Medicago truncatula: one gene and its partners. The protein of the gene in region 3 binds, or shares a complex with, the protein of the main gene of each other region. Links are inferred from orthologs where the notes say so. Each region holds a gene or a part of one and is shown on either strand. Other genes may lie near its edges. The genes, in order: kinetochore protein SPC24 homolog, kinetochore protein NUF2 homolog and kinetochore protein SPC25 homolog.

Region 1 (11,030 bases), on a different chromosome or scaffold from region 3:
TAATAATTTTAGTAATGTCTAAAATTGGAATTTTGAATTATTAAGAGAGCAAAATCGTCAATTTGTATGTTTAACCCCCAAAACTCTCAATTTGGGGGAACTTTAAAATTGGACAACTGAAGCCCTTGAAACCCCCCAAAAAAAAAACCTTTCACTTGTTTTTTTAAAACTCGCAAACAAGATTTACCACTCCATAAGCCTTTCATTCCATTCCCATCCCCTCCAAAATCCAACTCGCAAACAAAGCCTTACAGGGATGGTTAGTGTAAGAGCCAATATTTCAAGCAATGAGGATCCGGTCAAGTTGCTAACGAATATGCAAAATGAATAGAAGGAATGAATTGATGATAAAAAAAAAAAAAAAAGATTAGTAATTGTTATGATTAAGAGTAGTTACTAACTGTTGTTTGAGATGTTTGTTGGGGTTGAAGGAAAAACCTCTTTATGCATGTGGTACCAAGGCATGAGCCCCCAACAATCATAGTATTAATATACTATTAAGGCATCGTGGTGAGGACAAAGCTCAATTCGTGGTGAGGACAAAGCTCCAGGGCATGAGCCCCCAACAAGTATGCTAGTGCATGGACTCAATCAATCTAAAACAATCTTAATCAACATCTCAATATGCATCCAATAATTTGGAGTTCAACAACATCTATTCATCTTATAATGACTCATGCAACTTAGTTAAATAACGACAGCAGCATAATCAGATCACAACAGCATTATAATTCCATAACAACAATTTCATTTTCAACAACTTCAAGGTTATTCAAGAATAAATCAAGCAATGCATTTAATCATTAAATCACATTACAAACAGCTTAACAATTCATAACAGCTTCACAGATCTCAGTTAACATCTTAAATAGGCCACATTACTACCTAAAGTTCCATTCCTAATCAATTCAATCAACTCAGGTCACGACAATCTCAAAAGCACTCAGTTCTGAAAGTGCTCGCGAGGCGAGAGCATCTGCTCGCCATGGCGAGTACAGGCCAGGTTTCCAACTACGGTTGTTCCAGGTTCAATCTTGTTCTAAATCATCCTCTAATCTTTAGTAGACATCTAAAGGTACTCAAAAGCATCTAAAGTTCAACTCAAAAGTCCAAAATACGAAAATCAACATGCTCTCTGGTCATGCTCGCTATGGCGAGTAAGGTTGCTCGCTGTGGCGAGCTACGACATGTAACTCGCGAGGCGAGGGGAAAAGGCTCGCGTGGCGAGCGATGAACTTCATCACCCGCGAGGCGAGGACCATCGTTCGCTAGGGCGAGCGATGAATGTTGGCTCGGGCAGAATGCAGTTTTCTTCAAAAATTCATCTAATCTCTTGGTTCTAAGCCCTATTTCAGTTCCAGAATTCATTCTAAGCATAATCTAAGGTCAAGGGACGTTTTCTACAACAATCTAACAGTTAAACATCATCGGATGATCAAATTCTCCTATTAACCCTAATTTCAAAACTTTTATAATTCAATCCTAACTTTGTTAATTGATCATCAGAATCATAAGAATCAATATTATTGAATCATTAGTCTCACCCTTACCTTGTTTTGCAGAAATCGCAACTTTCCCCTAGGTGATTCTCTCTTCTCTTGGCTTTTCCTCCTTTTCTCCAAAAACAGTCGTACGTACTAATTTTTCTAAGACTAGGTCTTTCCTTTTTATATCTCTTCCTAATATCTTATCTTATCTCACTTTCTCCTCAAAAACTCTCTAAAATCTCAAAACAGCCCTCAACTAAATATTTTATTTTATTTTCAAATCTTATTTTATTTAACAATAAAATAAGTCTCATAATCTCATCAAATCATCAAAACACATCCAAATCATCCAAATCATCTAAACCGTCATAAATCAACAAAATTCACACATATATTATATAAATATAATATAACTCGTTTAAACTCGATTAAATAATTAATTAAACAAAAGTGGACGTTACACTACCGAACTTCACATGAAAGTTCACAGAGACGTTTGCAGTCATTAATAATTGCACTAAAATCAGAAACACCATGCTTAATACCTCGTTAAACAACACAGCTTATATTCATTATTGAATGACAATTATTTAAAATCTTCTTGAGCAGGAGATATATATATTTTTCTTACATTTGTTTAATTTTCTTGGAGAAACTTGTTTTTTATACTCATAGAGAAACTTGTAATTGAAATTTGCAAGCATATATCTACATTATTAAAATGAGAGTTAAGAGTGTAAACGGTTCCGACAAAATTGATGAAATTGAAAAATCAAATCAAATTGATATGTTGAAAACCAAACTGAATTGATTCTAATTTGATCGGTTTGAACATTTTTTAAACTGAAATCCAAACCAGGAATCATTAGACTCCGATGAGAGTCCTATTGAGAGAGTTAAAGATCCTTTCTATTTAATAGATACTATCATTTCAAGAGAGATAAATCTATTGAATATAATCATATTATTCAATTAATATTGTTGTATTTGTCCATGTGAACTTGACTTAGTTGATATAAACATTACATTCTATATTTATAGGTCGAGTTCGAACATCAGACACAACATCTGTAACGCCCCAATTTTATTTAATTATTATTGGTTGATTTAAAGTCTTTTTATATATGATTTTATATAATTATGTTGATTATGTGGTGTGTCATATTTTATTAAATGAATTATTTTACTATTTAATAGAATAAGTGGGAATTTAGAATATTTGGAGTTCAAGGGGCTGATTTAGAAATAAGGAGAGTTGTGTGGGATTAAGTGGAAATAGAGGAAGTTGAATTAGGTTTAGAAAAGAAAAGGGAGAAGTTAGAAAGAGGAGAGAAACTGTTTTCACGTACATCAGTTTTGGGAGAAAACAAGAGAAAGCAAGAGAACCAAGGGAGAGCCAGGTGAAGAAAATCAGAATTGTAGAGCTTTGTTCATCTGAATTAAGGTAAGGGTGAGGCTAACTTGCAATGATTTTAGTTTATATAATTCTGATTCTGTTTGACAAAAGTTATGAATGAATTTGGAGGATTGAGAATTAGGGTTAAGGAGAGAATTGATGATTAAATGATGGAATTAGGGTGAATTGATGTAGAAATGATGAACAGACCTTAGATGTTTCATATATTGATGTTTAGAATCAGTTTTAAGGTTAGAACAATGGGTTTGGGTGAATTTTTGAGAAAAACTGTAATCTGCCCGTACTGTTATTCATCGCTCGCCTCCCGAGAGATGATCCTCGCCGTAGCGAGTGATGAAGATCATCGCTCGCCTCGCGAGCAGGAGTTGTTCGCCTCGCGAGTTGCATTTCGCAGCTCGCCATAGCGAGCAAGTTTACTCGCCGTAGCGAGTGTGACCAGAGAGCTTGCAAGATCTCGTGATTTTGAGCTGTGAGTTTAACCTTAGATGTTTATGAGGGCCTGAACATGTACCTTAATGATTAGGCAAAGTTTTAGATTGAGTTTGAACTCAGAATAGAGTCAGAATGGAATCTAGAGTGTTTTACCCTAACTCGCCGTGGCGAGTAGAGGCTCTCGCCTCGCGAGCTAGTGCTTGACAGATTGCTTTGTTTAGGATTTTCATGTGGCTTTGTCGCATGAGAGGTTGTGAGCTGAACTTTGAGATAGCAATGAAAGATGTATAGGATATAAATGATGAACTGTGAAGCTGGTTATGGCAAATTGAGGTTATTAATGTGATAAAATTGTATAAGTAATACTTGGTTTATGTGATAATGCTAGACATCGTTGGATTGTATAAAATATTATCATATCATGCTGACGTATACTGTTGTGTTGCTGTTGATTGATTATGATTGTTAATGATCGCTGGTTTATACTTAACTGCATTCAATTAGAATGTACAATGTGTTGGTTCGAGTTGTAAGTGGCGAGTTGTCGTTTCCAAGTAACGGAGTCATAGGTTGTTGATGTTGACCAAGTTGGGGAGTGAGTGAGTTATTATGCACGATCGTTGTCGTTGCCTATGTTGTTGCTGTCGTAGTTGAGTTGTATGCTGATATACACAAGTCGAGTCCTTTCATGATTAGGAAACCGTTGAGGGCTCATGCCCTGGAATGCTCGTCATTCAACCGTTGAGGGCTTATGCCCTGGAATGCCTTGCCATTCAAATTGTTGAGGGCTCATGCCCTGGAATGTTAATCATTCAACCGTTGAGGGCTTATGCCCTGGAATTGCCTTGTCATTCAATCTGTTGAGGGCTCATGCCCTGGAATGTTCATCATTCAAATTGTGGGGGGCTTATGCCCCGGAATGCTTAGTCATTCAATGTGTTGAAAATAGTACCACGCCGTTGTTGTCGTTGAAGTAGTGGATGATGTTGTCGTTGATGGTGATATTGTGGTTGTTGTAGGTTGTGTTGTGGTCGTTGTTGTTGATGGAGATATTGTTGTTGTGGTCGAGTTGTTGTTGTCGTTGTTGGTTGATTTAGTAAGAGTTATTAAAGTTGAAGAAGTATAAATATTATTGTGGGAATATATGTTGCTTATTACGTTATTTAATTAAGTTGATGATTTATATATCTATTATTATTGTTTGTGAATCTCACCCCTTCTGCTTGGAATTGTTGCCTTTCGTATGGGTAACTTGCAGGTATTGAAGCTTATTAGAAGTGGTGGCTCAAAGTGTCTAGGGCTCTGATACGTACGGGATGGGATTTTCTTATTGTTTTTCATTCCTATGTATCAATTTTGAATATTGCTGACGTAGCCCTATGGTTGTTGAATTTATGTTGATAAGGCTTTTATGCCAAAGATTTAATTATGGAGATTTAAACTGTTGCTGTTGTTGTTTTGATGCAAATTTTCCGCTGCAAATTTAATGATGACTTTGAAGGACGTTTATTAAATAGATTTTATATTCTACTTAAAAAATTTTGAAAATGAAGTGTGACATGCCCGTTTGGGAATTACTCTGATGCATGTTTTATTAATTAATTGATTTTTGGGAAACGGGGTGTTACAACATCCTATTTATTTATTTTAAAAAGGTGAATTTTAACTATTAGATTATTTGACAATAAAAATTATTGTATTCAATGGTCCATTTCTCTTCAATTAACGATGTTCTTTAAATGAAGAGGATTCCAACTCCTATCGAAAGGGGTTATATAACTTTTTTAAAAATCTAATCTTAATACTAACTATTTCCTCCATCTGATGAAGAGAGGAAAATAATTTTGAGTGTCTTGTCAAGTATTTATGCATTCTTCATTATCATAAATGCAAAGTAGAATATATTGAATTGAGATTGATGAAAATAATTTTAATTAAAGTTATAATTAAAAAATAATAATTAACATTGTATTAAAAAAAATAAAATGGATCAATTATTTTAGGCTAAATTGCATTTTTGGTCCCTTAACTATTTAGGTAGTATCACTTTGGTCCCTTAATTAAAATTCGATTTATTTTGGTCCCTTAACTCTCTCTGTTACACATTTTGGTCATTTACGTTAGTTTTAATTAAAAAACGTTAGAGTTTTTTCATTTTCTTCTCCTGTTTTTCATCTTCATATCATTTCCATCAACCTTCAACAACAAAAATCCAGGAAAAATTCCAAAAAAAAATGAAGAAACACTAACGTTTTTGAATTAAAAGTAACGGAAAAGACCAAAAGGTATAACAGAGAGAAAGTTAAAGGACCAAAATAAATCGAATCTTAATTAAAGGACCAAAGCAATACTACCTAAATAGTTAACTGACCAAAAATGCAATTTATACTTCTTTTTTTTTCAATCGTTGAGACCGAGGGAATATTCATTTAAGAGTAGTGATATTTGTACATCCAATAGATGACAACTTTGGTGACAATCTATCAAAAACAATGGAGAGAGACAAAGAAATAGAGAGAATAAAAATATACGTGACTATTAGAGAGAAAGTTATTTAAAAGTTGTCACAATGAGCGTAGAATGTCATTTCTCTTGGTTTAATCAAAAGAAAGTGTTTCCCTCCGACTCAAAGGAAAAAAAAAAAAAAAGAACCCCAATTTTGAAACCTTGTTTACTTTCATCAACTCCAATTTCGTTTCTTCTTCCAATTTCGAACGAAAGAAAAACCACCTTCTTCTTCTTCCACATAAATGGCTTCTGATTCTTCTAGAAACTTCGACGTGGATCAGCTTATTTCCATAAGCAACGACCTCATTGAGGTTTTGCAAGATCCCGCTAATGACCGTGATCTCAACATCATCTCTCAATGTCTCCACCACACACTCTCCGTTTCTTCCTCCTGCCACTCCGACCTCAATGAGGTTCTCTCCTCGTTCCAAGGTCAATTTACTCTTTTGCCTTTTTCTATCTCTTCCGTTTCTACCACAAAATAATTACGGGGTTTGGGTTGTTTTGTTAAAGTTTTCATTTTTATGATTTTTTTTTTATTGGGTTTTCGATTTTTGGTGTTGCCCATCATTATTTATTTGCTGTTTGTTCTTTTGGTGTTTTACTTTGCTAATTTTAAGTTTGGTATGAATATTAATAGTTGAAATTCACAAACAATGATAGTCAGAAAAAATTGGGATTTAGGTTTAAGTTTTCATGTTTCTTACACTTACTGTGGCTGTGATTATTTGCTATGTTATGTTTATTTGGCAATTGGGATTGTTATATGGAGAACTATTGGATTGGATCTCTTAGTACTAGTGTGTAATTTATTTATTTATTTGAGGTGTTGCATGTGCAATTAAGGTGTTTGTTAACAGTTTCAAAACTTGAAGAGTATAACTATGTAAAAATGGAGTGGAAGTTTGCAATATGGTTTTTCAATATTTGCATTCTCTTTCTCTATCATTGTCTTAGATGTGGTATCAGTTACATAGTTAAGTCATAATAATGGAAAATAAGAAATGCTGTTCGATTTGATACAAAGTTCACTTGTAATTCAACTGGAAGTAGTTTGTGTGAGTGTCTGGTATGACAATGGAACTGTTTCGTTCTAAAGCAATGCTTTAAAATACGGAAATAGCGGCACTATAGTTCTATAGCGCCGTACGTAGATTTTGATGATAAGTAGAAAAATTCATTGGGTCGTTAGTTGGGACAGAGTGTGTTGAGAGAGATATGGGGAGAGTGGGTTGGGTATACAGAATTTGAGAGGTTTTAATTTAGAACTTCTTGTAAAATGGGTGTGGAGACTCAAAGTGGAAAGACAACTTTTGTGCACAAAGGCGATAATGGCTAAATATGGAAGCCAAGATGGAGTGCGTGTGGTTGGTAATGAATCCAGTTGGTGGCGAGACAGCAAAGCGATGGAAAAGGGAATATGGGAATCTCAAAATAATTGCTGTTTGGATAGAATGAGAAAGTTAGTGAGAAGTGGCAGCTATACAATATTTTGGTTGGACAAATGGATAGTAGATGGCACCTTTCAAGATAGATGTTGGAGATTGTATAGCATAGCAAACAACAACGAGGCTAAGGTGAATGGAGTTTGTAATTTTGTCTAAGAAACACGGGAATGGAAATGCAGCTGGAAAAAGAGGTTGTTTCAAAGGGAAGAGAAATTGATTGACGATGTTGAGTGAGCAGGGGGTCAATGGCGATGTGGAAAAGCAGAAATAAAATGGTTTTTGGGAGAAAATCATTTGAGTTGGACGAGATGTTGGAATCGGTAAAGATCTCATTGTGGAATTGGTTGAAGGTCCAAATTCTAGGAATTGAGTAGCCAATATCTCAATAGTTCTCAGCCTTTAATATGTTTGGGGAGTCGTATATAACTATGATAAAGTTTATGAATGAGGTGGTATGGTTTAACAGGAGACGGTTGTATCGTGGGTCTGGAGGAATGGGATGCAGTGCTTTCAAAATACAAGTTTGATCTGGTGGCAGAAAGTAGATCATAGGAAGTGGGTGGCATTTAAGTGGATGAGATTAATTCACCATAATTAATAGATTGGAGGTGGTGGTGCACATCCAGCTGCACTGTTTATGCAGAAGTTTCTGGTCAGCACAACAGGACGCAGACCGTGGAAGCCTGTAGAATTCTACATGATGGGCTTGTCAATATGGAGAAGTGTTTGTGCTAATTGAGTGTGTGTTTTTTTTTTTGAAGTTATCTTGCAAGAATCAGATGGTTATTAGAGTTTACCTTGGCATTGTGTTCTGGTATGGTTTTATTATGAGGACTATGTTATTTTGTAGAAGGGTGGCAGTGTTCAGAACCCCCCCAGCTGTTGAGCTCTGCCTCCATTCCCTTTCTATATGTCCTGCTCCATCTCTAATGAGTTTTCAGTGATTCTCCTGTTAGTCTCCTACTATGATGATGCCCTTAATTGGAAAGTTGTATATAAGGATGGCCAAAACCAAAAATCAATAAGAACTAGAAGAAATTGATTTTGAGGATTCTAAAGTAGAAGTTGAAAGATGCGATTCACTATTTGACAACAAGAATGATGATTATATTGGAAAAGGGGACCAGAATGAATAGATCTTTTGTCTTTTATGTTCAATCATTATTTACTGCTTTGAGTAATCACTAGTCAGAATTATGAACAATTGAGCTTTTTGAGTTAATTTTGTCACTTTATACAGTTGATTTTTATCTGTATTCAGCTTATTTTTATTTGTATATAGCATGCTTTTTAGTTACATAATTGATTTATTCCAACCGATATGTGGCTTCCGCTATCCGGTATTCCACATAGCGGAATTTTTCTTTCTTGCTATTTTCCGTGATGCACTATTAATAGCCACCCATCTAAAGTAATTCCTTTTAGCTCAACTAGCTCATATCAATGCTATCTATTATGCGTAGATATTCTTGATTGTATAATTGTATTATGTGCTTGACCAATGCTTAGTTGAATCAGATTATCAGAAAAAAATAGATTCGCACAAACAGAAAATTGAGCATGCTAGATCCGAGACTGCTGCTGATGCGGATCTGGAGCTTTTGCAGAGAGAACTGGATGAAGAACTTGAAAAAGAAAGCCTGTTGAAAGAGGAGTTTAGATAAGTCTATTAGTTTTCTGCTTTTCAATTGTATGCTCTTTTTAGATTTTAATCTTCTTGAAATGATGTATCTTATCATCCATTTTGTATCAGCACAGTCATTAGCAACGAGTTTGATGATCTAGAACAACAACAAATTTCTGTCCGAGAGCAGAAAAAGAAATTACTGAAAATTGAGCAAGAAAAGCAGAGGACAAGGTATGTGCATTGCAAAACTTGAATTTAAGACCCTGTTTACTTTCTAAAAACATTTTCAGCTTTCATTTTCCAAAATTTATGTTCATTTTAAATTGCTAACAAAGAGATTGAAGACTCATGTAGCGAACAATTGTAATAGAGAGAAGATGGAAGACAAATCTATAAATAATATATTTCCGGAAACAATGAAAACAATGTTTTGGCTTTTTCAAAATTTCTGAAAAATGTCAGATCTGTTTACAGAAATTGTAGAAGAAAATGGTGAGGAAAATATTGGATATATATTCTCTTATGTTTATTGATTGAATTGAAAATGAAAACAAGAAACATGAGAAGTAACAGGCTCTAAGATTGTAATCTGGCCTCATATATGTATTGCTATTTGTTATTCATGTCCGCTTCGATATTATGGTCTCAATTACATGAATGTGGCTTCTCAATGTTAACAGTAAAGTCAATTAATTGTCCCAAACTGAAGACAGTTCTTGGTTTTTACATTTCCCATATAAATTGGAACTTATATTTATTATTATATTTTGTTTCAGGATGCTACTTTCGATGTATGCTTCTGTCACAAATATTGTTCCAAACTTGGACGATCAGTCAAAAATTTCAGGCTGTATCCTTTTGTTGAGTGTACCATTCTCTTTTCCCCATGTTTCTTCTTCAGGTTTTCTGTAAATGATTTTTTTGTCCTTTGAAAAGACAAGAATTGTTTGCTCCTTAAACTTAAATTGCAGATATTGTTGAAAAGGAAAAAAATGCGGCGGAGAAATTTGAATACGACACATCACAGCTGACTGTCCTTGATGTATGTAATGACATCTGGAAAACAATAAGTGATTAATGCATGTCAAACATGTCTCTGTTGGATCATGTTTGTAACATTATGTAATTTCTCAAATTGAGTGCTATGTTAGGAATCCAACAATTCACTTGATGACTGAAAAGTTCAATGTATCATGAAATGAAAGCCTTACAATTTTAATAGAGTTGCTGACCACTAAGTTTCATTGGTGAGTATTTTCATGTCATGTCATGAAGTAAATACTAGTTTGAATCTTCACATGGTTGGCCACTTGTTGTTATATAGTCTAATGTGCAGTATACTGAGCATATGAAACTGAAAGATAAACCGATAACGCATATCTAATTTATTTTGCTCATATTCTTGCTTCATCAAACAATGACCTTGGAAGAGATCTACATATTTGTACCGGAAGAATAATGTAAGTGTAGATAGCTTGTGTCAAAGGAAATGCTGAAATCAGTCCATGTGAATGATTTCTTTGTACCTTCTTAATATCCTCATCTGAGCAATTTTGCTATTCTGCCAATTTGGCTTCCTGTTGTTCTTCTTTCCTTTCTTCATCAAGGCAATAAAAAAGGAATGTAGTAGCAGCTCAGATTCGCCAACATTGTCCTCAGATACTATAATTATCTCCCGAATGTGATTAGTCTAATTCACGTATAAATGAGACATCATGCCCCTTCTAATTTATTTTATTTTTGAATGGAAGAGGAGCTAAAAGGAAACAAAAAAAGAAAACTACGTCTGAAATAACACGTTGAAACAAGATGATCCCTACTCTTATTTGCTACTTGAAAGAAATGTTGAACTTGACAAAATTACCAAGCATTATTCTATTATGCATAATCAACTGGTAGCCATTAACATGCCCATTTTTGTTGCCTGAAAGGCGATTAACCACGACGGAAGGATTCAAGCACAACTCAGTTTGTAACCTCTAACTTTACCTAAGGACAAACCTTTAAGAACGACCCATGACTTGGCCTCAAAAGAAGTTAAACAGTCAGATATTTAGAAAAACCCGCTAACCAATTTACACTCTCATCACGTAAAAGACTACCACAAGAGC
Region 2 (11,469 bases), on a different chromosome or scaffold from region 3:
TAGTTTGATAAAAAAAACATGCCACAATGCCAGGTAATTTGTCAACAGTTTTTAAAAAAACAATCACAAAAAATATCATAACTCATGCTTACACAGATATGCTGGCCATTTGGAAATGGGGCACCAGCATTACTTGCTTGCACAAGAACGTACCTTTAGTTTGCTTTTCGACCAACTTGGCCTCAAGTGACTTCTCCAGTACTTCTTCGTCACCAAGTTTTGCCTTTAATGTTTTAAGATCCTTTTCAATAGTTTTAGCAGAATTGACCTAAAGGAAGTGCTAAAGAAATCAAACAAGAGGTTTTGCACAATAATAACTATCTTTGAAGGAAGAAAAAGCCCGCAGATCATAATAGAACGTTTCATATCGGTCTTGTAGAAAATGTATTTGATATATTTCAAAGTTGTTAATAGAGAACAACCATTAATTAGTTTAAATATCTTTGAAGGAAGAAAAAGCCCGCAGATCATAATAGAACGTTTCATATCGGTCTTGTAGAAAATGTATTTGATATATTTCAAAGTTGTTAATAGAGAACAACCATTAATTAGTTTAAATAGACTCTTCTAAACCTAATGGGCCTGATTAATGGTGAAATACAATTATTACTAACAATTACAAATATACATTATTTACAACATATCTCCAAGACACCACCACCATCATGAGCTTCATTCAAATCCAAAATAACAAAAGAAAAAGCTTTTCCTTCCTCCATATACAGGGACAAATTCATAACAAAATTTCAATCGTCATGCTAAATGACAGAGCATGAGTCAAATAGCCATAGGACAAGGAATACCTGCTCTTGTGTAACCTGCACCTGCTTGTAGTGCTTTGACATTTTTTTGTGTACCTGACAAGTAATGGATAAAGTGATCTGTATTATCTAGGACAAAACATTACATTGTGAATAGAAGTCATAAACCCATGAGATGCAGTTTACTTTTTTTAAGGCTTTGTTTGGGAGTTTGGAGGGGAAGGGAGGGGAGGGCTTTGGGAGGTTGGAAATATATAGAAAAATGGACAAAAAAAAATCACATTTTTTGAAAGAACGGTTTTTCAGAGAATGATAAACTAATACTTATGATTAATATACTTTTAATTTTAAGAATATTATGACAACATAGATTGGATTTGAAAAATTCATATAAACCCTCCATAACCCCCCAAAACCCTCCCCCAATACAATTTTTGAGTTCCCCCAAATGAGGGGGATTTTTTATTACGAGTAAAAAATTAACCTCCAAAGCCCTCTCCTCCCAATGTCTTCTATTTCTTCCACTTGCTCCTTCCTTTTTTCCAAAACCCTCCCCTCCCCTCCAAACTCCCAAACAAAGCCTAAGTTTCCTTTCTAGAATGAGTAAATGGCTACAAGGTTAGTGCATAGATTTGTTTAACCAATATGAATAATGTTGTTGCCAAAAAGAAATATGAATAATGTTGAAACTGAACGACAACATCTGTAAGGAAAATTCTAAAAAGCAGATTAAGTGATCCCACTAGCCCTATTATGTTGCAGCTTATTCTTCAATGCTCTTTACCAGGGAAAATTCAACATGGTATACAGACAAATCATAGCTTGTGGATATTTAAAACACCCATGGTTTTGATACAAAATAAAGATTCTAAAAACACCATAGTATTGTATGGAGGGAATACCGTCCTATGACAACATACCTTGGAAATAACTTCAACAAGGGCAGTCTTCTCATGGAAATTGTGCATGGCTAATCTTTCAGCATTTCTTGCCTCCTCTCGAGCTAATTTCTTTTCCTCTAGAGCTCTCTTCATGCAAGATAAGGGAAGCAAATTTAAATAGGTAGAGGCAGAAAGATAAAATCAGAGATTACTCTACACAGCAAGAACATCTTAAAATAAGCATGCAGTGTTTGTTCACCCGAACAGTGATAATAAATTCATGGTTAAAATAAATGTTAGTGCCTCTAGTCTCCTCTTACTTTCAATTTAGTTCCTACAATTTGTTTTCTTTTCAATTAAATTATCACACTTACAAACATCTTCAACAGACTGATTTAAAGGAAAAGAGCAATTATTTCAAGCAAATACCCAAAGGCTGAATTCATGAAACATGCTAATAACACTGTCAAATACCAGAATAACACTAACAGTGACCTGTTTTACGTCAAATACCATTTTTTAACATATGAACTATGAACCAATGAAGATAGTTTTTGGAAAAACGTATAAAAGAGTCTATTTCTACATTTCCATATCTCTGTCCTTCTCCCTTGGGTCTGCCTACCTATTTCCTACTACTACCAATTTCTTACAATTTCACCTCAAATCTCCTACAGCAATTACCACCGGAAGCACCCACACACAAAATGAATCAATGACAATTTGGTAGGAAGCATTAAAAACAGAACCACGGTGGAAGATTCATCATGATGTCCACCCACCGAGCCCACAAAGAGCTTTATACCAATTGATAGAAGATACGGGTATATTATTAGTTATTACTGAAAATGGGAATCCCTTTGATTACAAACAATGGCAGCACATTGAGGGTCTGCCTGCCTATGCTAAAAGGCCCTATTCCTCTCAAATGGCAAGATGATTCCATCTCTAATCCTCCTCTCTATTTATAGGCAGCATGTCTTATTTGGCCTAACTACCTCTCAAGTCTCAACTCAGCTACTAACTACCCATTAACCAATTAACTAACCTCTTAAATAACTACTTAACTAACAATAACAGACCTATCAAGCAGCCATTATGTTGTGACTTTGGTGTAATGCAACTATGAGTTATTCTTTTATGTTGGGTTGTGTAAACAATTATGCATTTTGAGATGCTACTTGTGTAGTCACAATTTTTTGATACAATAAAATTATGGAATATGAAGGACATAAATTATGTTGGATGATTTTTTCTCTGTTGCTGATATTGTCAGTAGCTCCTTGTTTTGCTAAGCGCAGGTGTTATGTTACAGCAAGCTTACCAGGCTAAATATGTATTAAGTTAATGTTAGCATGTGCACCGGTCACTACCCAAGAGAAGGTTGTGAGTCGCGAGAGTTTTCCACTGTGGTAACCACACAGAGGTAAGGGCAGTCCTATAAAACACATTTACAATATTCACACAGGAAGATGGGGTGGAAAAATGCAATGTCCATTACATTTCAAAGCTAAGATTGTAATAAGTTAGATTTTGTGAACAGAATAGACTAATAGCCAACATGAAAATGATACCTGTACTTTATCAGGCGATTGAGCAATTTTTGAAAGTAGATTTCCATGCTCTTGAACATTTTGTACCAGTTTATATTCAGCATCAGAAATCTGAGGTAATAACAAAAGGAAAATCGAGTTAGAAGTAAGAATTGTCATCAAGTAAAATAATTTATCACCAAGTACCAACACAGGAATTAATATATATTATAAACTGATCAGATTAAGCTGCAGTCTGCAATATATGTTCAAGTTACATAACTGACAGGGTTAAATGTCCTAATCCACCATTAATTATTCACATAAACATCTATGCCTTTACTGAAATGTATTCCATATACTACTCAAAAAACCCAACATCAAGAAGTAAGACTATGCAACTCATTATGCTAAACTTTCACTATCGGTTAAAGCATACCTTATCATCCATTTCCACAGTCTTCTCCTTCAACTTCTTTATTGTACTTCTCAATGACATCTGTTTATTGTTCAGGTTCGCAATAGTTTGACGCAACTCTTTAACTTTTGCATCCACCTCCTGAACAGAAGGCAATTCCCTTTCCCTCGCTTCATTGCATTCAGCAATCGCCAATTTCAACTATAACAGAATGAAAATCTATCAAATAAAACACCAATACCAACACACACAAAAAAATAAAAATAAAAATCATTCAATATTATAAACCTGTGTAATATTATTCTCTTCAATCTCAACTATCTTCTGTTCCAACGCGTTGAATTCGTCTACGATTTCTGATATCGCATTCAATCTCCCATCCCTGATTTTAAAAAATTTAACAATTAGGTTATGTTTTATTTTTCCTTGATGATTTAGCAGAAATGGTTGAAGAAGTGAGAGTAACGAACGAACCTGTCGAGACAGAAATTGAGAAGAGCTCCAAGGAAAAACTCGGTTCGATGAGGATCGGGTTTGAGAAGATCGGCAAAGTTAAATGTGTATTTCTTAGGACATTCAAGTAAGTTAAGCATTTCCTTGATCTTGTTGTAAAGCTTGATAGCATGAATAGATCCAACGTGAAGGTCGGGATTCTCGAGATGCTCTAGTGCATCGAAATCAAGCTGTCCGTTGTCTTCGCTGTGAGAAATTCAAAAAGAGAATAAAAATGAAGCGCGTGAAGCGAAGATTGAAGAGAAGGGAAAGGGATAGTTACTCGTGGAGAAAATCGAGGTAGTTGAGGATGCGAGTGTAGAGATCCAAAACGACGCCGGTTCTGGGGTTGGAGATGTCGTTCTCTGTAACGGTAGCAATTTGAAAGTTGTTTAGGAGTTGAACTATTTCTGGCCGGCGAAGCCTTGGGTATTCGTAGTTCGACATCGCCATGTTCTTCTTCAACCGCTACTCAGACGCAGAGATTGTTAAAGTGACCGTGTGTGTGATTCAAAATTGAAAATTGAAAATTGAAAATTGAAAATTTTGAGTCCCGCCCAAAGTTTTTTAGTATTTAGTAGAGTGATACACGAGCAGTGCGCGTCTGTACGGATCAAATCTATACAAAAATCAAAATTACTGGTGAATAGACAGACTTATTGCTCCTTCATTGATTTTTGTTCAATTGTACAAATTGAGATTGAACCAAAAAATAAATAAATGAAATTCTGGATAATTCTATAATGTAAAGATTTTTTTTAATTTTATTTTACACACTCTCAAGCTAGGTCTCTCACACAAAACTTTTTTATTTCTACAATACTCATTTTCTATTTTGAATTTCTAACATTGACTTCATTTCACACGTCACCGCTCATCGTTCCTCTAGTCCAATCTCATATCGTCACTTCTCTAACTCATTCTCATATCATCGCAAATCTCATGCAATTTATCTTCGGACAAACCCGATTATGTTTTCGTATTGTCATGTACTTGTTGAACCCAAATCTCATCAAATTTGATCGAATTCGTAGACATATTTAAATTTAAAAATTGGTTCGATCTAATGTGAATACCATATTCAGATCACATAAACCCGACTTAATCCGTTCTTTTTTTACCCTTAATATTCATATATTAATATCATAACAGCTACACCCAAATTATTATTACTATTATTATTATTATTATTATATGAAAAGACAGATATTGATATCATAATGATTGCACCCAAATGAACGTGTAAGGATGTAACATTACAAGCAAAGCATAACAAATGTAATTTATCTAACAAAAGTACAAAAACTCTGAATAAATTAAAATTAATCACCAAAACAGAACTTACTTCCCCATAATACTACTTTCATGGAGCCACCCAAAACAACACATCACAAGGCCCAAACAAACTTATTCTCTTGAGACAAGATCAGTCACCTTGATTCAAACAAACAGAACCGTAGGAAAAACTGATACTTAATTTAAGGAAACAGCTTCTGCATGATTCAACTAATATGAAAAGAGCAACTGGTATGAAATTTGCAAGGCACGCATATAAAAGTTGAATACATTATTGATACTTAAACTCTAGTATAAAAATCAAGCAGCATTGATGGCAATTTTCACACCAGAACCGCAGTGACCTGGAAAATTGCACATGAAGTAGTTTTGTCCCTTAGCAAGCCTGACCCGATCCTTCCCTGACCGATACACTTTAGATCCCCTTCTTGGAGTACTGCACTTATCATACACTTCTTTGGTTACTGCCACCACATTGTGAGTCCCTTGCCTATAGTTGAACACTGCACAAACATATGAAAAATTATATTTACACTCAAGAAATTGGATAATTATTAAAAGAGTCGTATAAAAAAATATCTTCTGTGTTATATTTTTTTTATTAGAATAATATTAAGATGCTTGACATAAAAGAAAAGAATAATGTTATTAACCATAATATTAAGAGGAAGCATTGAAATATGGATAGTGCCATATATATATATGGATTTGCTAAAACACACCCACTAGTTTTTATGTGGGAGTGTTTTAGCAAGCTACATCTTAAGGTGTATTTAACTACTTTTTAGTTAGGCTTAAATATGTAAAAGGTCCCTGTAATTTAGCGTGTTTTTGTTTTTAGTCTCTGTAAGTTTTTTTTTTCTAAAACAACCCTTGTAATTTCGAAACCTTTTGGAAATCATCCCTGACGTCAGGTTCCGTCAACAAAAAAGCATTGTTGGGTAACAGAGACACACGTGGCAGTTTCTGAGTTGGCAAAAGTTGCTGACGAAATGTTCATAGGGACGAAAACCAAAAACGCAAATGTTCATAGGGACGAAATTGAAAAAATGTAAATATCAAAATTTCAAATTTAAAAACAAGATGATCTTCTTCATCATCCCTCTTTTTTCTCTTGTTCATCTCCCTTCCCTTCCAATTTCTTTATCTCCCTAGAAAAAACTCATCCCCTCGTGGCAATGTCTTCTCATTCCAATTGTGAATCTCCCTTCCCTTGCAACAGCTTTTGAGGCTACTCAATCTCAACCAAATGTGAATTCAGTTTTGACAAACACACCCAATTACTATACTTAAAACAATTAAGTGATTCTGCATCTTTTGAAGCAGTTTTATTTATGTATATAACTTTATTACAAATTATCTTATTATTAAGTTTAATTACTATATTATAGAATTGTGTTTTCCATAGCTTTTCTGCTATGTGACAGTCAAACAACAATGTGGCAACTGCCTCCGTACAAACCTCTACACAAACTCAATCACATAACATTGGGGATACTGCCTCTGCATAGACTCAATTACCCACCAATGAGGCAGCCTAAACAATAAATTAAACATATTAAGCTTTTAATTAAATTAAACTTTGTTAAAATTATACAACAAACATAGTATTATAACAACGAACTCACCGTAAAGGTTGGACATTTTCAATATCTCCTTTTAGGGTTTTCATTTAAATTGGAGATGAACATCCTTATGATTTTGGAGATGATGTATTAGCAATGGAACGAGAAGACATTGCCACGAGGGGGTGAATTTTTTCTAGGGAGATAAAGAAATTGGCAGGAAAAGGAGATGTAGAAGAGAAAAAATAAGGATGAAGAAGAAGAAGAATATATTGTTTTTAAATTTGAAATTTTGACATTTACGTTTTTTTCAATTTCATCCCTATGAACATTTGCGTTTTTGGTTTTCGTCCTTATGAACATTTCGTTAGCAACTTTTGCCAACCCAGAAACTGCCACGTGTACCTCCGTTATCCACCAATGCTTTTTTGTTAACGGAATCTGACGGCAAGGATGATTTCCAAAAGGTTTCGAAATTACAAGGGTTGTTTTAGAAGAAAAAAAACTTACAGGGACTAAAACCAAAAACACGCTAAATTACAGGGACCTTTTACATATTTAAGCCTTTTAGTTATAACTTGCTAAAACACACCTTCTAAAAAATAAGTGGGTGTATCCTAGCAAATGCGTATAGGAGTTGCTAACATACACCCACTTATATTTTAGAAGGTGTGTTTTAGCAACATTCACCTTAAGATGTGTATTTAACAACTTTTTAGTTATATCTTTACTAAAACACACCTTAATAAAAACTAGTAGGTGTGTCCTAGAAAACCCCATATATATATATATATATATATATATATATATATATATATATATATGACTTTTTTTAATCAAGGCAGAGAGAGTAAAGACTTCCCTAGAAAAAACAAGGAGATGTGTTGGGGGGGGGGGGGTCACCAATATGGCCCTCATGTCGAATAGTATTAGGACAAAATAGCATCTTTGTATTTTTTTTTTGTACGTTTTCAGTTCTTAGGAGAAAGGGACTTTGATCATTTTAAATTTGATTGAAATGTAAGTAAAGTTTGACAAATAATTATTATAGATTTATGGTCACGATTGTATTAGAGTAAAATTTAATAATTCTCTAGTGATTGGAAGATACATACCAAGTGTGTCACCAGCCCTAAATCGTTTTCCTCGAGACCACCCAACCGTGTTAAAGGTCCAACCTACAGTACCTCCAACATTGTAGGTAGCAGCATGAACAAGCTCAGAGTTAAGAACAAAAAAGCAGACTAGTAGAACCACCACACTGCCTCTTCCCAGAGCCATGTTTTCTCTACTAGTACTTGCTAGAAAGCTGTGAAAGAAAGGGATTTGGATGTAAGAAAATTTGGAATAATGTGGTAAGGTTTTATAATTGAGGAATGAGTGAAGAGGTCTGCAAGAAATCTTATGGGAAGTTGGTTAGATAGTAGATACCATAGACGTGGGTCTGCCCAAAATATTCAATCCGTAATGATTCTTGAGATGTATGATTTTTAGCACAAGTTGTAATTGATAATTAAGGTACTATCAATTTATGATAATACTAGTATTATGATAGTGGTTCAAGTTAAACTCCACCAGTTCTAAATTGTCGATAGTACATTTGACTTTAAATTTGGTTTCATGGCACCAGCTTCGCACGTATGCCTGAGTGCTAACCCATTTCCTAAGATGGAACTCAACTAACAGCATATGTCAACCTCCCATGGCATAATTTTTCTTTGAAATGTCCTACAAGAAAGTACATTAATAGATGGTGATGTCATGGTTGACCTGGACTTATATTGTTATATAGTATTTCTCATTTTACTATTTTTTTCTGTAAAAAAATACTTATATGATCACAATCTCATAAAAATTATTTAAACACATATTTATTTATGCGTGTCTAAATGAGTTTTAGTTAGGTTTATGAACAAGCAAGTGTGACTCTACTACAAGAGTTTTTGGACATTTTGCTCGTTCACAATGGTTTCATAAATTTAAAAAGGTATAAGCAAAATAAAATACGAGGATAATAATCATGAAGGAGAAGTTGAGTATGATGATGAGGTAGATGATGAACCTCGATCTTATGGATGAAGATGCGTTGTCTAATTTTGATCAATATCTTGCTTTTTTTCCATTTAAAAAAATGACAAAATTTACATACAATTCTTTATATGCTTTTTCAAATGGTTCTTAACTAAAAATACAATATATTTTTTTTAATATAACAAACTCTAAAAAAATTATAGATTTGCTAAAATCACAGTGAACTTAGTTAAAAACCATAATAATAATAACTTAAGGAATTGTACCTAAGTTTTTCCTTAAAAAAAAATATATTTTTTTTCTTGCTAATGCAAGCAATATTTAAGAAAGCAATGCATTTTGCTGCCAATGTAAGCAATATTTTAATTTGAAGTTGGTTTGGCATCATCAGGTTCGTTCCTTTGAAGGTGTCGGTGTTTCTTTGGCGGCTCATTCATGATCATTTACCAACCAAAGATAATTTAGCAATTCGCGGGGTTATACCAACATCAGCGTCTTATTGTGTTTCAGGATGTGGCCACGTTGAAACAGCCGAACACTTATTTCTTAATTGCACAACTTTTGCATCGTTACGGCAGCATATGCGTGAATGGATTGGTTTTGTGGGGGTCGATTCTAATAATATTTCCGATCATTTGTTGCAATTTACATTGATGACAGGTCCTGGTAAAGTTAAACGTTCATTCCTGCAGCTAATTTGGCTTCTGTGTACTTGGGTTGTACGGAACGAACGATACAACCGGTTGTTCAATAATGTTGTAACTGTAGTCCCCCGTCTGTTAGACAAGGTTAAATTGTTGTCTCTAGGGTGGCTTAAAGCCAAAAATGTAATGTTTGTTTTTGGCACGCGTGATGGTCAAGCCCTTTTGCTTGTTTGGGCATTGGCTAAACACTTGTATGCCCACCTTCCATTACTGACTTACTCTATTGTACTGCAGTAGTTTTCTAGGCACACCTTGTGCTTATAATCTACTTTTTGTTTGGTTATATAATTCAATTTTGGCTTGTTCAAAAAATAATTAAAATAAAAAATATGACAATGAAGTTAAAAGGTTTAGGGGAAGAATGATGGTGTATGTTATAATTTTTATGCATAAATTTAAGTATATATTTAAAATTAAATACACTTCAAAGATTATTTAAAATTAAATAATTATGAATTTTTATGATCAATAAGTGTAAGCCACTTGATGCTTATAAGAGATATTAGACATGAGAGCAAAACTCGCGCGTGTCCATAGTTAACCATCCAAACCCATTTCTTGCTTTGATTAGGTATGAGTATGAATTTGAGTTTTCCTCGATTTCAAGACATATGTATGGAACGGGTAGCAGGATATAGGTAACCACCCCGAACCCATACCCAAATTTGTCACGTAAAAAATTGATATTTTGGGTATATGTTGATATGTCATTTTTTTAGAGGGTTGATATGTCATTGTTATCCGATTTATAAAAGTAAAGCATATTGCTGGATAACGTATACAACACTACCATTGGGGCTAGAAAAAAACTTTTGTTTATATAAAAAAAAAACATTCAATACAGGGACATGACATGGAAACACGAACCTCTCAAAACGTGAATGAGATTCAATTTCTTATCTCATTGACTATGAGTAAGGTAATGGATAAATATACGAGAGTTGAGATTGGGAACAGGGAAGGTGAAATTCGTACACACCCGGCCCTATTGCCATGCCTAAGAGATATCTTTATACTAACAATTTAGAGTTTTTAGAAATAGTCTATTTTAAATTCCTTTCCTCTAAGGATGTCCACCTCATCAAAAGCCTACTTGGCATATGTTCCCAAAATTCCTCCTAATTTTTAATACAAGCTTAATAATTTTAATTATTATTAAAAACCGTTTTTTATTTAACATTAAATTGTATATAAAGTAAATAGTTGGTTACAATCAGATAATGATTAATATAATTACTGTTTCGATTAAAATTTATATTTTACAATAAAAATTTGAACGTTACAAATCAAATAACTATTAATCTAATTAGTATTCAATTAACATTTATATGTAACATTCAAAATTTGGTTGGTTACAAAATTATAATAAATAAACTGAATAAATTATATTTTGAATTTTGGGACGTTACACTAAGGCATTAACCTACTAATTAAAAAATTAATTGTATTAATTAGTTTTTAAGGTTATATAATTAATTTTTGTTTGTTACAAAACTATATTACATAATTATTTATAAGATATTAATAAATATTAAATTAAAATTCAAATGTTATGAAGTTAATTTTTTGTACGTTACATGAAATATAATTTAATCGTTTAATGCACGTTTTATAATATTAAAGACGTTGATAATATTAATTTTAAAACGGTTAAATTGATAATTAATTTATATTAACCGTTATGGTACTATTTTTCTATATAAATAGTGGAGATTTTGGATATGAGTACACAACAATCACAAAATATAGTTCTTCGTTTTCTGTTCTTTGGTGCTCTGATATCTATATT
Region 3 (10,763 bases):
TTTCGGATAATAAAGGTGCCTCCCCATTAGATAATGCCTCCATTTACACACTGACTGCTGACACAGTGAGCAGTCCTGCACTATAGTCATTAGCTCTCTATCATAAACTGATTTCCTCCCTGATAGTTGTTAGCTAAGGAAAGCTAGAGGATGTCCCTATTGCAGCAGCACAGCTCCCAAGCATTTCTCGAAACATCAGTTTCAACAATAAAAGCCATGACCAAATCTGGGACTACAAAGAGCCTAGGACAGACAGTTAAGTTATAGCTTTAATGCTTGGACAACATGTTCCATTTGTTTAGATCATTAGAGGTTATCTCAAGCAATTCAGTAAGCGATTTGGCAACTAACCCGTAGTTCTTCAGAAATTTTCTGTAGTATCCTATCAACCCCCAAAACCTTTTTATGACCTTCACGTATTTGGGGCAGGCCACTAATTTATTGATTCAGCTTTTACAGGTCTGCCTACAGCAACCCCTTTTTGTGACGCAATTTGGCCAAAGACACTACAGCTTCTTCAGCAAGTTTACATCTTTACCCCCAGATATTACATTGGAACAATCGAAAAACCTTCAGGTGCTCAACGTGTTCTTTTGGCCCTCTATTACAGCCTTCACAATTCGCCCATCAACTCTTGGAAGGTAAAAGGTGCATTAGCAAGTCCAAATGACATGCCAGAATCAGATAGCAGCTGACTGTATCAATTGCTGACAACAAGAATACAAGCTAGGGAATTCCATAACCCTTCTTTATTCTCTAATATACATTATATGCTTCAGCTAACTACAGTTAATACATTATTAAGTTTTCTATTTGGTTATAACTTCCCTGCCCCATTTACCAATTTATTCTATTCTTCCTAAAACACACCTTCTTCAAAAAACAGTGCTTGTCAAAGTACAATAGACAACACTGCAACTGAAAAGTATCAACATTCCAGAGTGGTGATCATAAACGTCTACCTGGGTGGTTAAACAAAAAAATTCAAGAAATACAACATATAGTAATTCATACCTTCAAACGTGGAGACTGGCGAACAGATGAAGCAGAATCAGGAGATAAACGTGCCAAACTTTTCCTTCTGCGAACTTGTTTTTTCTTTAATTGTGCACTACTGCCAGAGCGTTCCACTTCATGCTCATTTTCCATGGTTGTAGAATCACTTCTAACAGATGTGCCAGGAGCGGATGAAGATATAAAGGCAGATTCTCCAGGATTGACTGTTGTTAGAACTAAGCTCCCTGTTTAATAGCAATTAGATAAAGTTACATTCATTACAAGCAACCCTTTCATCCAATTTCCAACAAGCGAAGATACTATTTAATTAGACATGTGAAGAAAATATATTAAGAACAATTATACTTATATTCATATAATAATAAGCTAATGAGAAGAATATCAAATCAACTAGAACCATGTTTGAACAGTTCAATAAGACATATGAACTGGTAAAACATTCATTCAATAAATTTTCTTCAAATAATGAATAAACATCATTATAATATGAAGTATTTGGAATTACTATTATTATTAATAGAATCACTTCGTATTGGAGCTCTGCATATTTGGAATTATTATCATTTTACAATTCAAGCGGTCTTTTCAGTCTCCAATATGCAGAGCTCCCACATCACATGCATGCACTCATTTAAAAGATAGAAACAAACATTGATACCTTGTACCAATGCTTCTTGAAATTTTTTCCTCATTACTCTGACAAACTTAAACAGACCATCTGTCTTGTTTAATTCATGGACCAGCTCTTCAATACCATCGAAGGAAGGTTCACAACGTAACACTGAAAGATAAAAGAGATGGTGTAGGTTTCATGAAGTGTATATACACTGAATATTGTATAAAATCATAAATGCAGGCTGCTTACATGTATAAGTATTTTTATCATGGAAGACAGTAAAAGAGTACTCCTCATTTGGATTCTTCAAATTTATATTCTTGAACGTGAACTTTACCCCTGAAGAGCATAACTAATAAGGATATCAACTTTGTGAAGAAGAATAAAAAGAAACCTTATGCAAAAAAAGTTAATTGTCAATTACCACGTCCCCCTTTGACATGAAAACCAAGTACCCTGTTATACCAAGAGATGGCCTCATGTGTTTCGTCTGTATGTTCAATGCCTTCATTCAACCTCCCTTCAGATGCTGCCAAAGCTTCATATGGATTAAAAGAGAAGACGAGGGAGGTGAGAGGATATCTTATAAAAGTACATAACATTTCTTTTAACGAAGTAATTTCAAGTTTAGTAAGTAGAACAAATCAAATAGAATATATAATAGAGAAGAAACGCAAAAACATAGTTCCTCAATCAAAACTTAGAATGCATAACATCTGTGCAACAGCTAACATTCATACTTTTTTTCTTGAGAAAATGTGTTCAGTATTTGTAAACAGTTCATACATTCAAAAATAATGGAAGTGGGCATCATGATATCGGTCAAACATAAAATCTCCCGATTTTGTACAAGACAAGCTTTTTTGAAGCCCAAATTCATTAATTCTACCACTTTGATACACAAAAGGGACCAACGATATCCCATTACTTCATTACAACTTTAAAAAAAACCCTAAAAAATTTAAAAAGACTGACGGTGCTTAAACAGATGTAGTAAACCAATGCCTGTCTCCCGAGAAGTCACTTGGTTGAGATTCTCTCTTCAACCTCAAGAAACTTGGTTCAAGACCCGGCACCAGAGATGTAGTAAACCAATAACCACCCAGCAAACAGAAACCCCAAAACGACCACAACATAGTTACAAGCTTAAGAACTACGACCACGACAGTTCAAACTTATAAATACATGTTCTGTAAAAGCAATTAATGAAGAACGTATGAGTTATGACAAACCCATTGTTAGAAAAACATCCTTCAAATCTTATTTTATAACAGGCGAACTTAAAATCTTCAAAAATGATTTTACAGGTTGCATGATAATCCATGTCTTACTAGTTCTATGCTTCCAGAAGAAAAACAAAGATTTACATGTTGAAGTAGCTACTAAAAAAAAATGTTAGCGTCTAGACATGACAACCTCATAGTACATGTAATCTCGATACTTATGCAAGATGGCATTTGGCTACTTTATGTTTAACATACATTGTGTGCACAATATCAAATAGATTGAGCAAACATCAAATATATGTCCTATAAACAAATAAAAATGTAGACTTGAATAGGGAACAAGTTACAACCATGTCCAATCATGATGTCGACAACCATGGATTAGCTTATTTTTTATCTCATTAAAAATAGCTTATGCAAATAAATAAGTTTTTATGTTAATTCATAAGTTCCCACTAGTGAAAATTGTATTTTCTCAAAGTTCCCACTAATGAAAATTGTATCTTCATAAGAGCTGTTTTTTCATAAACTACATTGACAAGCTTATGAATAAGACATAAAAGCTTATTTATTTGTATAAGTTGTTTTTCATAAGCTCAAAAATAAGCCAATCCAAACGGGCACTAAGTCAATGTTAAATTCCTTCACCAAACAGGGTTTGAATCTGTAAAAACATAAAATACTTAAATAGCTACAAATTGCAGCATTTGCAGGAAAAAGAGGTTAATTACCGAGTGATTGCTGCGATAGAAACGAGATATATTCTTGTTTCCTCGTTCGAACCTCTTGAATACTTGAGTTGAGATTTCCAACTCTAGCCTTAGCAGAAGCAATAGCATCTAACAAAGCCATTCGCTTAGCCTCTTTACGCGTCTTTTCTGAAAAAACAAAAACAAAAAAAGTTCACAAATTTTCCCTTACTTAAAACAAATAAGCTTAAAATTGAAAACCCTAATACTTATACAAACCAACCTGCGAGTACTTTAACCAATTCATCTTCCACTTCCTTCAATTTGTCTTTAACCTCTTCTAATTGAACTGAGAAGGAAAAGTAAAAATGAAAACCCTAATATGAGGAAAAGAGTGAAAGTGAAAATTGAAAGATGAAACCCTAAAGACCTTGAGTTTTCGCGGTTTGTTGTCCGGTGGTTTTAATGGATTGGAAGGATTTGGAGACGGAAGCGGCAAAGGCGTCGATGGTGTGGATTTGTTGAGTGATTTCTGAGTCGCGATGGGTTGAAGAAGTTGAACACTCCATCTTTCTGGACTCACTCGTATCCAGTGTTTTTGAATTTCATGAGTTAGAAAAAAAAGCTCGAACGTTGTTGTGGTGGGCCAGTTTCTCAGTTAAACTATGTAAATGAAAGTGTACTTTGGTCATTCAAAAACATAAATTACATCTCCAATTCATTTAAATAAGGATTAATTAAGTTTTTAGTCCCTATAAATATTTAGAATTTTGTTTTTAATCCCCATAAAATAAAATCACATTTTTTAATCCTTATAAAATTTTCCATCAACATTTTTAGTCCTTATAAAATTTTTCATAAGCATTTTTAGTCCCTATAAAAATTTTCCATTAGCATTTTTAGTCCCTAAAATGCTTAAGGAAAATGTCACAGGGACTAAAAAGTGTGATTTTATTTTACAGGGACTAAAAACTTAATTAACCCTTTAAATAATGACTATTATAATATCTAGTTCATCATAATTACACGACTTGTTGTAATTTTGTTTTTCTATAAAAGAGTCTAATTTGAGGCCTATTTCGTTTAGTCAGTGAGAATCACATTGTGTCCTGAGTTGCATATCGTGTCTATTACTAGTTCATACAACTCTCACGGATAAAAATGACTATGATACTGTAAGTCATTATTGGTCGATGATGGGATAAAACTGTAAGTGCACGGTTTATCGATGTAGTAATAAAAAGTATCGTTTTGATAGGGAGTTATGAATTTACTTAACTTTCAACAATGATTAGAAAAGAGTTTTAGTTTGCAAGTTTGGATTTTTAATTAAAATAAAATAATAAAAATAAAAGCGCATTGTGATTATTGGTTCATCTAAATAACAAGTCCTTCACAAACAAACCCTAAACCATAATTTTATATTGGATTTACTTTCTAAAGACAAGTTTCTCTTTGAACCCTTGAAACCCTTCACAAGCAAACTTTGTGAGTGTGGTCCTCTAGCAACCACGCATATTTTCATGGTTGGTTGCTATTAGAATCATTGAAGTTCGAAACTTTATATGTCTCAAGGTTTGCTAGACTATTTTCATGTTTCGCAATCCTTGTCTAAATTCATTTGTTCCAATATCAAAACTCCACTTTTGCTTTATGAATTAATATTTGAGATGATAAATTAACAATTACTAACCCTCCACTTTCGCTTCTACAGTTTGGTAATTGTTAATACATGTTAAAACGGTGAATTTAGATTAGAAAGTAGATTTATATAAAATTAGGGCTCAATGCTTGGTTTGATTAGGGTTATGTCATTTAGACTTACCCAACAATCCCAAGACAAGAAGAGTCTACTCACTCACGTTCATTGTAGACATAGAAAAGAAGAAGAAGAAGAAGAACATAAAATAAAGGTGAACTTTTATTCAAAGAAACAATTGTCACTTATTATTTCAGATAACAAAAGATGAATTGTTGTGATAGCTAGCTACTCTAGTTATAGCCTTATGTCGACTTAAAACCTAAGCAACTATTCACTAGAATGTTCCACAAGAAACCACGGGCTTTTAGATCAAAATAGGTAGCTTGTTTCCGAAGCAAAAGCAGCAAAAGAGCACCCTGAATCAGCTTCTAATCCTCTTTCTTTTGCTCCAAGACTCAATCTATCAAATATTCGTTCATGAAATATAACAATATGCAATTGAAGTAAAATAGTTCTAAAAGGAAATAATATTTAAATAAATAAACTTAAAATCTAAATAAAACAGAATCAAATATTATATTAAAACTACTAATTATTGACTCATCAGTCGATTCTTAAAGAAGGATCGATCAGTATGTATGTTCATTCATGTTGGGTTTTATATATGGCCCATTATTTTATCTTTTATCAACTATTATTTAACTTGTGTTTTTTATACGTTTGATCTAAATTTATGTTTGATGTGCAAAAAAATATTTTTGGTGATTTAATGTTCTAAAATGTTGTGGTTCGGTGTAAAAAATTGTTTTAGTCTGACGCAGGAGTGGATCAGATCCTAACATCCAATCAATTTGTAAAAAGTGATCCTACAAAAAAACATAAAATTGAACAATTGAATTCTAACGTCTCATCTACAGGGGTCAGTTTCAAACCTTATACCTATTTTTATTTTGTGGTGGTCACCTATGACCTTGCATATATTATGTATTGTCCCTATCAACTGAGCTAACCTCAAGAGGACTAAACCTTGTAACTATTGATCCATAACTGATAGAGTTGGATCAAACGTAGCTCCCAAAATGTAGCGAATGGGAGTTCGGGTCCAATATGTTCGGGAGTTAGAATCCAAGGGAGGTATTTTGAAGTTTTTTAGGGGGCGTGAGCAATTTGAGAGTCCCCTAGAGCAATCTTCCTAATATATGTGAAAGCAAGGCCCGTCGAAACGCACAAAGGGCTATGATAATTGGGCATCTGCAATATTACTTTTCCCACCCTATACCTTTCCTCACGCGCCCTATTTTTTTTCTTCCAAAATACCCTTTGTCCGAAAAATATAATCCGAACTACTTCCGGAATATTAATTCCGGATTTATTCGTGGATTTTGGCACTTAATCACCCTGATGGATGAAGATGTCAGTAATGAATAGATGAATCCGGATTATATAATCCGAACAATTTATATGATTTTCGTATTATATAATCTGAAAAGTGTAAATCACCCCGTTGAAAGTCAACAAAAGTGGGTGGTGAACGATGGTTCCGGATTATATAATCCGGATGTTATAAATCTGTCCGGATTATATAATCCAAACTGCATCAGTATAGAGGCAGAAGTCATCTGTTTTGGCTGAGCCTATGTTTTAGAGTAGATTTAGTCAATGTTGTTGGCCTTTGACCATATGCAGACCAAAAAATCAAGTTATAAAATCGAAATTAACAACACAATATAATTTTCAAACATTAATAAAACATAATTATCCAAATGTTACATAACATTGTGATCCAAAATATTCAAACATTAAAAGTAAATAAAATACAATCAATCCCTAATAACTACACCCTAGCACCTCTGCCACCACCCCTGCCACCATCAGTAGCTCCCCGACGACGGTAAACTTTCCCGTCATTCACCTCTTTCAACGCGTCCTCCAAATGTTACCATTCCTCAGTCCTTTTCGGCACCAGACCACTTCTCATCACAACATAGATGTGGTCTCTAATGCGGCTCATCCTTCCGCTAAGCTGTAAGTAGGCAAGGTCTCCATCCTTCTGAGCAGCTCGCGCATCAAGGATCTCACGCTCCAATGACCTCGGCACCGGTACCGACATGTTTGGAAGAATCATGTGTGGATGGGAATGTCGATAAAACCAATCGGTATATCCATCTTCTGCCTCCACACCATGAACTGCAGGCTCTACCAACTGCTTAGGTGTCAACGCATAATCAAGTGCACGGAGAAAGCGGTTTGTGATCTCCGCCAAATTAACATCAACAACTGCACCCTCAACGGGATGTCCCGGTATGGTCTGAACCCACCCAAACTGACGAAGCACCCTCTCCGGCAGATATCTCACCATGCGGCCTCTGAATCTCAGCCATCCAGAGCAGGCCAGTCTCGTGTGGGCCACCAGGATAGTCATTTAGTGGCTCAGGGTCCACCACCTTCTCCTTCTTCTTTCGCCTTTGTCGTGGCTCGACATCTTCCATTTCCTCGTCCATAGCATGCAACTCCTCCTCAAGTTCCTGATCCTCCATGTGCTGCAAGCCCACATCAGGCTGCTCTTGCTGCAAGTCCATATACTCTTGCCACTCTGGCTGATGCTCGACACCAGGCTCTACATCAGCATGACGTCCTCTAGCACCCAGACGCCTCGAAGGAACACCACCTTCATGCCGTTGGCTACACGCTCTCCTACGGGAAGCATGCTCTGCCTCCCTTACGCGCCGAGTATTAGATGTTGAACCTTCTGTAACATTCAAATTAGGGTAATCAATCATAACAATCAAACATCATAATCAAACTGCACATAACAGAAGCAAAAAAAAAAAAAAACATTATGGGTTCGTTCGGATTTCAAATTCCAGACATCAACAATCCTGTCCGGAAAATGAAATCTGGATTGCACCCGACCAGAATTCCAAAAAAAAAACTACCAAATTAACCATGCAAGTGTACAGAAATCGAACTTACCTTCCATGCTGGTTGACAAGGGTTGAAATGCGGTGCTTTTGAGCAACAAAACTCCAAATTTGGACAAGATTTGCGGTGTTCGGATTTTGGGATAATGTAGAGAGAGAGAGTGAATGGTGAATGTGAAAATGTAAAACTGGGGGGTGAAGTCCCTTTTATACTTCGCAGTTGTCCATAATATATATTTCGGAATATGCATATATGTTCCAGATTATAAAATCTGAAGGACATTTTAGTAATTTGCATAGGGCGTGCGAGAAGGCCATATAATGAGAAAAATAATAGTCTATATATTTTCATATACGCCCCCAATTGCCACACTGCTCTATTGAAACGGTAAGGTAGAAGATACTTGTGAGATATAATTTGGGGGCATATTATACTTTTGTCATACAATTATATACTACTGTTTTTTTCAAATACGTGCAAAGTGTGATTGTTAAAGCTCACTTGTCTCGTAAATATAGCTTAGAAGGTAAAAAAAAAAGGTCTACATCGATATTTAATATGTCGTGGTACATACAATTATACACTTCTCGGTACTTATCTTTGTGTGAGTTTTTCAGTGAGATTCTTTAAAGTTAAAAACATATTACAGTGCACTTAAGCACAACTGCACTCCGTTAATTCACAGTAGTAATAAAATCTGTAGCATGATTAGAAAACATAACATATACATGCTACAAATACTTCTTTTTTTAAGGAACTTATGGTTCTTCATGACATAAACTTTGGGTATTGGTCAACAAAAGAAACTTTGGGTTTGCCATTGCACACTCGCACTCAGCAATCATTTTAAACTTCAAGCTCCGCCCCCTTGTTTGTACAACGGTTTAGGCTTCTTTTTCCAACGTCGAAGTGAAAACACTATTTAAAACTCACACACAAAACTATGAGGTATCTGAGTGAAAATGTGTGACTTAACTAATATTACAATTGCTAGCTGAGTTATATCCTATGCACACAATTTAAGGCTTAATTAATTGCAAATATATAATGACTGAACAATTGCTTGAAGCTTCATTAGCTCTCATGTTAAAGCAAGAATCAACCTTCAAATTAAAAATTGGTAGCGTAGGTCATGTATAAACATTTTCATATGCTTTCATCCATGTCTTTACCTTTTTGACCCATGAAGTCGTTTATTAAATAATATATCTAGCGTTTGTCATACTCAGCCTCGCAAGTAAATTTGTCATATCCGGGTCTCTATAATGAACTTAATTAAAACACTATTAAAAACAAATTAAATAATGAATGAACGATTGCTTGAAGTTTCATTAGTTCTCATGCTTAAGTAAGAATCAATCAACCCTCAAATCTGCTGGTCTTGAAAAGATGTAATGCTTGCCATGCATAAACAATTTCATATGCCCCAATCAATCTTTTAGTCTCGTGATTTTTTTTAATTAATATTACTAACCCACTTTAAACTTTACAGCCGAAAGAATAAAAGGTTAATACTATGTCACTAATCTTGAAGCAAGAGAAGAACATTCCATATAACCAAGGCAATTGAAAGCAAGGACGAAACCTTAATAAAACACACAAAAGAGATGGAAAACCATTAAAGAATGAATGGCTTTTATAAAGGGTTTCGTTTTGAGGTTAATTTTCAAAAGAAAAAGTAAAAAATAGTGGTAAAAAAAGTTAAATTAAAATAAGAAATAAACTTAATAAATATTTATTTTAATTATGTATTAAGATCACTTTAGAAGGTTAGATTCCATGTAAAAAAAGAAGAAGTTAATACTCCACTAGCTGAAGTTGATTTAGAACACACGATTTTTTTTTCTTCCTCCCTCTCGTTTAATAATGTTAAAAAAACTCAATTATTGTTTAAAGGGATCGATCTCTATTCTAACATACTTACATAACTGATAAGTTTTTATTTTTTGACAAAAACCTACACAACTTGTTGTTAAGTGACAAATTTATTTTTGTCAATAGTTTTACAATTTGTGTTAATATTGCATTCATGTCATAGTTTTTCTTGTGAAATGATTGATTTGGCATATGTTTGGGAAAAAATAGTAATATGTACACGATGTGACAATATTTTACTATTTTTGTTAACTTGAATTTTCAATCACAGCTGCATGCGAGTTATTTTGTGTGGTAAGCAACTAATTAGAGGATGACGCGAAACCTTACAAAGAAACACGAAAATGCATCGAAAAAGAGTGTTAAGGCGGTTGCGTTTGATTAAACATTGCACCAAATCAAATTGATTTGATTAAGAATAAGGGTCTACTCAGACAAATCTATAACATTTGTTTCCTCTCAAATTTCTCTTATCAAGACAGTTGCGCAAACATTTTGCTAAAACAATTATCCCCAAGTCATTGTCAATGCTGTTAATTTGATATACAAAATATTCTTTTGCTAAATTGTCACGTTAAAAAGCCACAAATTTATTCTACCAAAAAAAAAACCACAAATTTATATTGATACTATTTATGTTGATACTAGACTGGACATGCAATTTCATTTATCAATGATATATAATAGTTTTTTTATAAAACTCTTTTGTGTCGGTC

What was found.
Region 1: kinetochore protein SPC25 homolog (region 3) and kinetochore protein SPC24 homolog share a complex: the UniProt entries of both Arabidopsis thaliana proteins name them as parts of the NDC80 complex. The link is inferred for Medicago truncatula from reciprocal best matches to the Arabidopsis thaliana genes AT3G48210 and AT3G08880.
Region 2: kinetochore protein SPC25 homolog (region 3) and kinetochore protein NUF2 homolog share a complex: the UniProt entries of both Arabidopsis thaliana proteins name them as parts of the NDC80 complex. The link is inferred for Medicago truncatula from reciprocal best matches to the Arabidopsis thaliana genes AT3G48210 and AT1G61000.

Annotation. Positions count from the first base shown.
Region 1 is NC_053042.1:48,945,083-48,956,112, reverse strand, and holds kinetochore protein SPC24 homolog, read left to right. Parts: upstream 1-5,952; 5' UTR 5,953-6,086; coding exon 6,087-6,276; intron 6,277-8,810; coding exon 8,811-8,952; intron 8,953-9,048; coding exon 9,049-9,150; intron 9,151-9,695; coding exon 9,696-9,769; intron 9,770-9,890; coding exon 9,891-9,997; 3' UTR 9,998-10,242; downstream 10,243-11,030. UniProt on the Arabidopsis thaliana protein: Acts as a component of the essential kinetochore-associated NDC80 complex, which is required for chromosome segregation and spindle checkpoint activity to ensure proper cell division. Required for the maintenance of plant architecture.
Region 2 is NC_053049.1:40,974,909-40,986,377, reverse strand, and holds the start of kinetochore protein NUF2 homolog, read right to left. Parts: upstream 4,720-11,469; 5' UTR 4,538-4,719; coding exon 4,368-4,537; intron 4,292-4,367; coding exon 4,067-4,291; intron 3,975-4,066; coding exon 3,881-3,974; intron 3,794-3,880; coding exon 3,614-3,793; intron 3,307-3,613; coding exon 3,217-3,306; intron 1,790-3,216; coding exon 1,682-1,789; intron 858-1,681; coding exon 804-857; intron 269-803; coding exon 154-268; intron 1-153. Other genes in the region: basic blue protein, read right to left, coding at 5,681-5,883, 8,061-8,226. UniProt on the Arabidopsis thaliana protein: Acts as a component of the essential kinetochore-associated NDC80 complex, which is required for chromosome segregation and spindle checkpoint activity to ensure proper cell division.
Region 3 is NC_053045.1:51,669,158-51,679,920, forward strand, and holds the start of kinetochore protein SPC25 homolog, read right to left. Parts: upstream 4,204-10,763; 5' UTR 4,118-4,203; coding exon 3,979-4,117; intron 3,898-3,978; coding exon 3,832-3,897; intron 3,738-3,831; coding exon 3,591-3,737; intron 2,172-3,590; coding exon 2,058-2,171; intron 1,973-2,057; coding exon 1,883-1,972; intron 1,799-1,882; coding exon 1,676-1,798; intron 1,242-1,675; coding exon 1,015-1,241; intron 1-1,014. Other genes in the region: uncharacterized protein, read right to left, coding at 7,536-7,999, 8,224-8,422. UniProt on the Arabidopsis thaliana protein: Acts as a component of the essential kinetochore-associated NDC80 complex, which is required for chromosome segregation and spindle checkpoint activity to ensure proper cell division.